2 linked regions of the Caenorhabditis elegans genome follow. The protein of the gene in region 2 interacts with the protein of the main gene of each other region in a pairwise test. Each region holds a gene or a part of one and is shown on either strand. Other genes may lie near its edges. The genes, in order: unc-43 and syx-4.

What was found.
Region 1: the proteins of syx-4 (region 2) and unc-43 interact in binary tests that used the Caenorhabditis elegans proteins (3 or more experiments, as listed by UniProt).

The regions. Positions count from the first base shown.
Region 1 is NC_003282.8:10,346,958-10,351,790, reverse strand, and holds the start of unc-43 (Calcium/calmodulin-dependent protein kinase type II), read left to right. Parts: upstream 1-1,573; coding exon 1,574-1,598; intron 1,599-2,819; exon of another isoform or gene 2,820-2,825; coding exon 2,826-2,906; intron 2,907-4,473; exon of another isoform or gene 4,474-4,494; intron 4,495-4,833. Other genes in the region: Y43C5B.2 (Tyrosine-protein kinase), read left to right, coding at 1-346. UniProt on the Caenorhabditis elegans protein: Acts in the signaling of a variety of pathways and processes. Phosphorylates 'Ser-319' of daf-16 in response to stress signals, such as heat, starvation and oxidation, which plays a role in prolonging lifespan.
Region 2 is NC_003282.8:8,455,159-8,459,468, reverse strand, and holds syx-4 (Putative syntaxin-4), read right to left. Parts: upstream 2,190-4,310; 5' UTR 2,189-2,189; coding exon 2,108-2,188; intron 2,014-2,107; coding exon 1,912-2,013; intron 1,685-1,911; coding exon 1,508-1,684; intron 1,362-1,507; coding exon 1,040-1,361; intron 841-1,039; coding exon 632-840; 3' UTR 536-631; downstream 1-535. Other genes in the region: ant-1.4 (ADP/ATP translocase), read left to right, coding at 1-242. UniProt on the Caenorhabditis elegans protein: Potentially involved in docking of synaptic vesicles at presynaptic active zones.

The sequences.
Region 1 (4,833 bases), 1.9 Mb from region 2:
GCTGGGAGAAGGTGCATTTGGAGAAGTGATGATGGGAACGATGAAGTTTCGGAAAGGAGGAAAGTCAGTTCAAGTGGCGATCAAGCAGGCGAAGCTCTCGAATCTCACAAAGGAGCAGATCAAAGAGTTCATGGGTGAAGCTCGTGTGATGCGTTCACTTTCACATCCCCATGTCGTTCGCTTTTATGGTGTGCCCCGTAGAAGAGTTAACGTTGCACTATGTCGGTCACTGAACGAGTTTCTTGCTAAATGTCACAGAAAATTGCGTTGCGCAACGCCTTTTTTTGTGTGTATGTCTGTGAATTGGCTCTCAGTGCTCAATGAGCTACGCGTTTTTCTTGAATAAAGGAAAGTTTTATGAACAGTTGATAATTTGAAATTTCAGTTTTATTTAAATATTTTTCCAACAACCTCGTTGTGTTTTCGAACATCAAAAATAATTTTTAAGATTCAGTCGAAGCTTTGTGCAACTTGTATTTAGGACATAATCTAAAATAGTTTTCCTCTCGAATCTCAGAGCTGTTGAAAAATATAATTAATTAATTTTGTACTATTTTGAATTAAAAAAACGCATTTTGGAAGATTTTGACTGCAGATATATGCAATTCAGAGTTAGATTTGAAGATGAAGCATCACAAACTGGAAAAGGCTTAATACCGCAAGTAGAGTTTTCACTTACTAATTTTTTACAAAATTTATTATTTACGTTCTAATCAACTTTTTTTTTTGAAAATTTTTCAGGTTCGAACCAGCAAAAATTCTCAAAATAACAAGACTTTGTTGTTGAAGTTTTGGCAATTTACCAAATTTTGACTGAAAGTTGTAAAGATTTAAATGGCGTTAGGAGCGTTTAATAATGATATTCAATTATGTTGGACTAAGTGTACAAAACTTTAAAAAAATTTGAAAGTATACATAGATTATTTCTAAAGAAGACGCCTATGAGTCTGTGGCAACGATATTTCAGAAGAACATTTTCAGACTCACAAGCTCTTTCGAAGCGTTTTTTAAGCGTTTTTCGAAAACAATACCAAGAAATGAATTACAAAATTTTTTTATTTAATGGTTTGTGTCTTCAATTAAAACACAGTTTTTTGAATAGATCAGATTCACCATGTCTGAATCCTTTAAAAAGTTCACTGCTTTTTGGGAATTTTTTTTGATAAATGAAAAAATATGCAAGAATCCAAAACCAAAGTTTTATACGGAGAAATGAAAATTTAAACTCAGAATAATCCGATAATTAGTCAAAATTCAACACATCATCGCCCCGCACTGTCTAGAAACCAGTTTCTCGTCTTCCATTTATTTTTCTTTTGAAAAAAGGCATTTTACGTACGTTTCGCCTTCTTTTTTCTCTCTTTTCAAAATCAAAGTTTTGTTATCGTAGTCAATTTTGTAGCATAGGACACAAAAAACACAGAAAAACTAGAGAAACATAGAGAAAACACACCGAGACCTACTCGTACGAAAGTTGAGAAATTGAAGAGTGAAATTAAATTGATTCTAATTGATTAGTAGTTACTGTCATTGTACCTATCTATCAACTTTCAAACTATAAATTATTGATTGAATGAGCAATTCTTCCACAAATTCAGGTTAGATTGTTTCTATTTTAATATTCCTATCTTCTAACAATTGAAAATATATATGATTCATGTTGACTGAGATTGATTGGTAGAAATAACAAAAAAAAGTTAGATAACATCGAACATAATTTGTTTGCATTCTTTGTTCTGCAGATTAGAACACAAAATTTATATCATGAAACTTTTTTTTAATTTGTAAGATAAGAAATGCGGGGTACATTCACACTGAAAACTGGAATTCCTTATTGATTTTTTTGAATAAGAAAAGTTTATTTTCGACTACGAGACTATTATTCAATAAGCCGTTAACATAGTCCCGAAAATTTTTACCTACATGCCTTCACCTACCTCGTACCTTCTTATCTATATTTTTCATTTCTAATTTTTAGAGTAATGCCTGTAAGAATTTAGAATTTTGTAAACATGGCCAAATATTATAATTACTAAACACTCTAATCATTTTTACTCAAAGTTTTGGTAGAGTGTCAAAATTTCAAAAGAAAAAGGTTTTTTTAACGACTGCCAGTTTTTGAAAAGGTTTACTATGAAATTTTGTATTAAAACATTGTCTAGTCTCAAACTAGAGTTTAGAACTCAATTAGATATTAGTCTAACTATATTATTCGAGTTGAGATCTACATGTGTGGGAAATTTCAAAACTTCAAAACTTGATTTTTTAAGTTCCCTCCTTGCCACTCGATTGTTTTGTGAAATTAATAGGAAAATTGATTAGAAAAAATGATTTTCTTGCATATTTCATCAAAAGTGCTGTGATTCCTTAGTAGTTCAGAGTTGCTGTAGCCTATAAGTTTTCCATGTTTGTTGCCAAGAAAACAGGTTTTTTTGGTGAAAAATAAGCTACATTAAAATCGAATAGGTCAGTTCCAAAACGAATGAACTCTGAAGATTGGAAATTGACCTCTCTTGCAATTAACCCATTAGCCAGAGACAAGCACAACACTCAAAAGTCAATCTAAATCTTACTTTCTGATTCATCCTTTTCCTTTACAATATATTCTGACTTCTGAATTCCAAAAGTTCAAAGAATACTCAAAAATTAACAAAAGTCGACCTGACATTTTGTAAGTGTCTATGTGTGCCAACAATTCGTCCGTTGAAATTTGAGAATTCGATCGTCGTCGTCGTCAGTCGAAGCCAGGCGACACATAACATTTTTTTTTCATTTTCATTTCTTCTTCAAAGAATTTAATAATATTAATCCATATTTTCTTTCAGAGGTCAATATAGATCAGAACAATCAATCAGACACGTTCAGGGAACATCCGGCAGTTACAGGCATTGCCAATCTTTCAAAAGGTATTCATTTTTCAATCTTTCAAATGTTTTCAAAGCATTTTAGAAAAATTTTGTTACAAATTTAGCAACTTAAGATAATAAATATGCGTAAATTTTTATTTTTTAAATACATTTTTAATTTGTTTTAAAAATTTTGAATTTACAGTCAAAAAGTGGACTCAGTTTTTATCTATAATAATTTTGGAAGTCGATCAAAAAACTCTATGAATTCCATACTTTATTCACGCTAGAGTTTAACAACTGTAGAGGCGGTGTGCGGCAAATTTTGAAATTTTCCGAGTTTGGCAAACTCGGCAAATTCTGCAAATTTACCGTGGTCGTCATACTCTCTAAATCGCAATATTTTTTTGAGCTCGAAAAGCGTCAAATTTAATGAAAAAATCTTGCAATTAGTTCACCGATTTTCGTTCGATTTTTGCCAAATGCTCATGTGTATATCTTGAATAAAAATGAAAGAAAAACGATTATTCTTTCATGAAGTTTCAGATCGAAACCATGCACAAATTTTTCATTAAAAATATTTTTTATGTGCGGTGAATGTCAAAATTTGCCAAGCTCGGCGAATTCGGCGAGTCTACATTTTTGAAATTAGCGATGCTCAGCAAACTCGGCAAATTCAGCAAATTTACCGCACACCCCTGTTGTAGATGTTGGAATCGCAAATAAACAAAACACTGTGATTTTAACAAAGGCAACATTTCGATTGAAACTATTTGAATTTTTGAGTGGTTTTATTGTGAAGAGTTTCAAAATTTGCATAATATATGAAGCTAATATTAATCAAGAGTGAAAATTCATAGAACAGCAAAACTGTTGATTTGCAAAATATTGATCCTACGAGTTTTTGATATTATTATAGAACATCAATAGAGAAGACCCTCCAGTTTTATATATTTTCCTGTTTCCACACCTCTTGAGACTTCTTCCTTTCGTTCATCCTCTTTTATCTCCATTTTCAAATATTGCTCTCTGTTTTGTTTTGACGAGAAGCTTCTCTTTTTCTCCCCTTTTCTCACAACCGCCTTTTTCGTTATAAGACTCCACCCATTTCTTATTCCCAACATCTTTTTTTCCTGACTACTCTGAACATCACATAGTCAGCTCACGGCTCGTCGTCGTCTTCTAATTAACATTTTGCTCACATAGAGATATATGTGTAAAGAATGTCTAACTTGAGTCGCTTATGAGAGCATAACTAACTAAATTAGACAAAGACACGGAGCAAAATGAGCACTAATTAACATTGTGAAGAAGCAAGAAAAAGAGACGATTACGGTAGTATAGAAATTGGAGAAATTGGAGAATAACAAGTAGCGTATGTTTTTCCACATACCCATCTATTGAACTTCTAACGAGACGAGGAGTTGCCTCTCATACGACTCATCGCTCACCTTCTTGGCCTACCGGCAGACGTGTGTCTAAAATTTAAAAAATCGTACCCAGCAGATTTTTTGAGTGATTTTTAGAAGTTTTGACACATTTCAATGTCAACTGGAACAAAATTGTTATATTTTCATATTTTTTACCATTTGAGAATATATCCAAATCGAAACTTTTGGATTCCAAAAATTCATACATTTTTGGGAAATTAAACCCTTTTTGCAGATTTGTACAGTATTTGAAAACTAGGTGGAAGTGGGATTAATATGATGAGTACTGCTAAATTGCAAAGTACATTCGATGCAGAATATATTGCAGACAGTTTTAATGTCAGAGATAGGAAAAGTTTTTTTTTAACTCAAAAGTAAGCCCAAACGTTCAGGCATATATGCAATTTCAAAATTGAATAAGAATTACGTGTCGCAAATTTTGCTCACAGCCTACATATACGATTACTTCGTATAGCAATTTCAGCAGGGCGAAGCGTAACGGGTCGCCTCGCGCTTGCCTCTACAGTTAATTTTGAACAGTCCACATTCTAAAATGA
Region 2 (4,310 bases):
CTCAAGTGGTTACTGTTGGATCTGGAATCCTCTCCTATCCATGGGATACTGTTCGTCGTCGCATGATGATGCAGTCTGGTCGCAAAGATGTTCTCTACAAGAATACTTTGGATTGTGCCGTCAAGATCATCAAAAACGAAGGAATGTCCGCCATGTTCAAGGGAGCCCTGTCAAATGTATTCCGTGGAACTGGTGGAGCACTCGTTCTTGCCATCTACGATGAAATCCAAAAGTTCATTTAATGATCTTCAATTGTTTTTGTATTTTTATTTAGTAAAATTATTTTAATTGAAATCGTTTTGTTACTCAAAAAGAGAAACTCTTTTCATGAAAAAATCAATGAACTACGGTCATTTTTGGTCTCTCTGAACAATGAGGAAACCAATGAGGAAAAACAATGTACTTATTTGATATTTAAAATAACCTACGATCTAGACTATTTCTCAATTTTATTTAATTACCAGTTAGTCAAAATTAGGGTTTCCATCAATTTAGCTCTGAAATTGAGCTTGTGAGCCAAAACTGTTCCGATATTGGCAGAAAAACGTTTATTCGTATAAATACTGTAGAAACTTGGAAAAATAATCGAAAAAAAATCACAAAAAATAGACCCGAAGGAATTAAAATAGCATTATTTCCAACCCGGGATGATTGCACCGAGGAAATGGGAGAGAAGGTAGACGACAACGAGCAGGAGCACGATCAGCGCGATGCACGTAACGATCTTCCATTTACGGTTCTTCCGACGCAGCACAACAGCCTGCCGCACGTTCTGCTGGGCTTGCTCCGCATATTCTTCGGCGCGTATCACGCTCGTCTCGATTCGGTCCACTGTTTCGCCTGAAAATTTAATACTTCGCGGTTTTTCAGGGAAGGTACTGAGCGCCTAGCAAAACTGGGACCTCTTGTTTTCGAAGATCTTAATCCTTTCTAATGCCCGCTAGATTTTGTAAAATTGGGAAAGAAAGAAAAGATTTTAGGGCAAGAGCTATGTGTATTAATTAAGCGAGTTTCAGTTAACAAAACATCAATAACTCACCTTGGCTTTGTACCAATAATTGCATATCCACAAAGAGTTCTTCGACCTCGCGAATTTGTTTCTCCAAAATCATAATATCCGTGGCGCGGTTTTTCATATCATCGAATAGTGCCTTCTTCTGCGCAACACCCAGATTAATGTTTCTCGTCAATTGAAAGAGGCTCCCGTTTTCGATGGCACCATCAATTTCCGAATCCGTCACCTCGATGTTCTGCTTTCGGAGGTATGCGGCAATCTTCTTTGCTGCCTCTGCTTTGTAGGAGGCTTGATCATCAGCAAACTGCGACATTATTCCTTCCAGCGAGACGATAAGCATTTGGATCTTAAAAATCAGGAATTAGCGGTTTCGGTTATTCATTTAAAATTTATGATTTTTTTTTCGAGAAAAGGTTGAAAAGAATTAAAATTAGTGTAAATTTGGTCACCGATTTTAGATCTAAGTTCGTTTATTTTCAGACAATTAAGCACCTGTTCGTGTCTTGCTCGCCCCGAGCCCACTCGACTCTCCGGATACTGTACCAGCTCCTCTGAGGCGTCAGCGAGCCGACGACGGATGCCACGTGCTTGAGCTATGAACTTATCCACGTGGTCGTTGAGTTTTCGGCACTTTGCTGTGTCCGAACAGCCGGCTGCCAGTGACTCTACCTGCAATTAGTGGTTTTTGGATGATTTGGCTAAAAGTCGAAAATTTTAATGTTTTGTTTTTTTGTTTTTTTTTGTTTTTTTTTTCGTGAAAGCTTTTAGTTAAAAACAAAGAAAAACATTAGTTTTCAATAAATATTTGATTTTCCGAATATTTTTAAAATTGGAATCAAACTTCGGATTTTTTGAGCATTATTTCTGATTTGTCACAGTTTCTTTTCTCTCTTTACCTGCTCCATGTAAATTGCGTGTCGATCTGCGCTCAGCGTAGTCAAGACATGACGAATTTCGTCGACATTCGCCAGAAATTGTTGCAATGAGACGTCTGCCAACTGAAAAAAAAACATTATTTTCAAGTTTTTGGAAAGAAAAATATAATTTATGTCAAAAATCTTCTTGTATATTAGTTGTTTCCATTTATTCTACCTTTGAATTGTTTTTCTCCGGACTTGCAGCGTTGATTCCAGAGATTTGGTGCATTTCGAATAGACGGTCCCGAGTAGCCATTCTGGAAATTTCGATTTTTACCAAAACAATCGAATTTTAGTGCGATACACGCAAATAGTGGTTTTTTAGGAAACGTTTTTTAGAAAGGCATTGAAATTTAAGCGAAGCTTGAGAAAAAAGAACAAAAATACGATTAAATTTAAAAAAAGTCAATTATGGTTTACGCTAAACAGGGCGCGCCTCCGGTATATCGGAGTCTCGTCGTACTGTAGTTTTGGCTTTAAAAAATTGAAATTTTTTATTTGACTTTTGTGAGATTTTTTGAACAAATATTTAAAGATTATGGAGCTTAAAGCAAAAAAAAAGCACAAAAATTGGAAAACAATTAAACTAGAATATTTTTGAACTTTCGGGAATTCTCCATTGCTCGTTTGTTCCCGACGAACCTCTCTCATTCCTTGGGTTGGTCCCTCGCGAAATCGACATTTGATTTTCCAGACATCTGAAATTTATTTTGCAATTTTTCCAAAAAAATATTTCCATATTTAAGCAAACCGTTTCAAAATTTTCTTCCAGATTATTTCAAATGTTCTTTGTACCATGTTGTTTATTTCAAATTTAAAGATAAGATGCACCTTTTCCTAACATCTGATGTTTTCGTTGACAAAACAAAACATGAATAAAGCAATGTTCCAAGTTGTCATGGACACCCACAATTAACAACAAAGAAAAATATAATAGAAGAGATAAGAGAGATAAATAGTGTTTACACCAGACAAAAGGTGTCATCACAGCTGGTTTGGGTGGCCTGTCGAGGACAAAATTTGCTGTGTCGACTCAAAATATTGGCTAGAAATAATTAAGATTATCTTCAAGTTGCTATTACTTCACATCACCTTGTTTCCAACCATGACAGTTCAAGTGGAAATAAAAAACAGAAACAAGCAACTTTTATACTTTTCCAATTAAAATTAAATTTACTCACCTGAAGATCTTCTCAAATAAATTTATTGAATTAATATGGTTAGTATTAGGTCTCCAAATAAGTTCCGGGTCAAAAATCATAACTTTGTTCGCTGCTTATCGATTTTTATGAAACTGTGGGAATTTATGTTATCAACCATGGTCTTTCATTTGAAAATAGTCACAAAAGTTTTTGACCACCCCAAGTGCACTAACTCGGAGCCAATTTTTTCAGGCATTTTTCTGATATCGCTTCTTTTCAGCTTTGAATTGAGGGTTGTGTGCGGATTTTGCTTTGTTAAGAATACATTATTAGAAAACGACAAAAGTTTGGAAAAAAATCCGTCCAAAAAAATTTTTTTGGTTGGTCGTCAAAAAATCTTCGAAAAAATTTTTTGTCGAAAATTCCTGATTTTTCCTACAAAAATGATGTAACCAAGTGTAAACTATTTTTACACATACAAAACATATCAGTTTAGTTCGAAACACTAAAATGGTAATAGAAAAAAATAATTTTTTCGGATAATTTTTGAGTTTTTTGAATATTTCTTGAGATTCAAACTTCAAACTCAAATGACTTTTATGTGTAAAAATAGTTTACACTTGGTTACATCATTTTTGTAGGAAAAATCAAGAATTTTCTCCAAATGCATTTGCGTCGCGCCTAGGCTCTATTCCATTCGACACCCTCTTCCCCCCAACTTGACCTCCAGGACTATGGCTGGTCCGGCTGGTCATTTCACTTATTTGTTCACACATCTGTTTCACACATCTCTACTTTTTTTTTATCTTCCGGTGTAACTCTTTCTTGTGACAAATAAACAATATTATTATTCGACAAAAAAATTTTTGAAGATTTTTTGATGACCAACCAAAAAAAATTTTTTTGGATGGATTTTTTCCAAACTTTTGTCGGTTTGTAATAATCTATTCTAAACAAAGCAAAATCCAAACACAACCCTCAATTCAAAGCTGAAAAGAACCGAGATCTGAAAAATGCCTGAAAAAATTGGCTCCGAGTTAGAACACTTGGGGTGGTCAAAAACTTTTGTGACTATTGTCAAATGAAAGATCATGGTTGGAACATAAATTCCCTCAGTTTCATAAAAATCGATACGCAGCGAACAAAGTTATGATTTTTGACCCGGAACTTATTTGGTGACCTAATAGTTACATCTGGGTGGAGTAGCATCAAATGGGAAAATGCTTAAAATTGCTC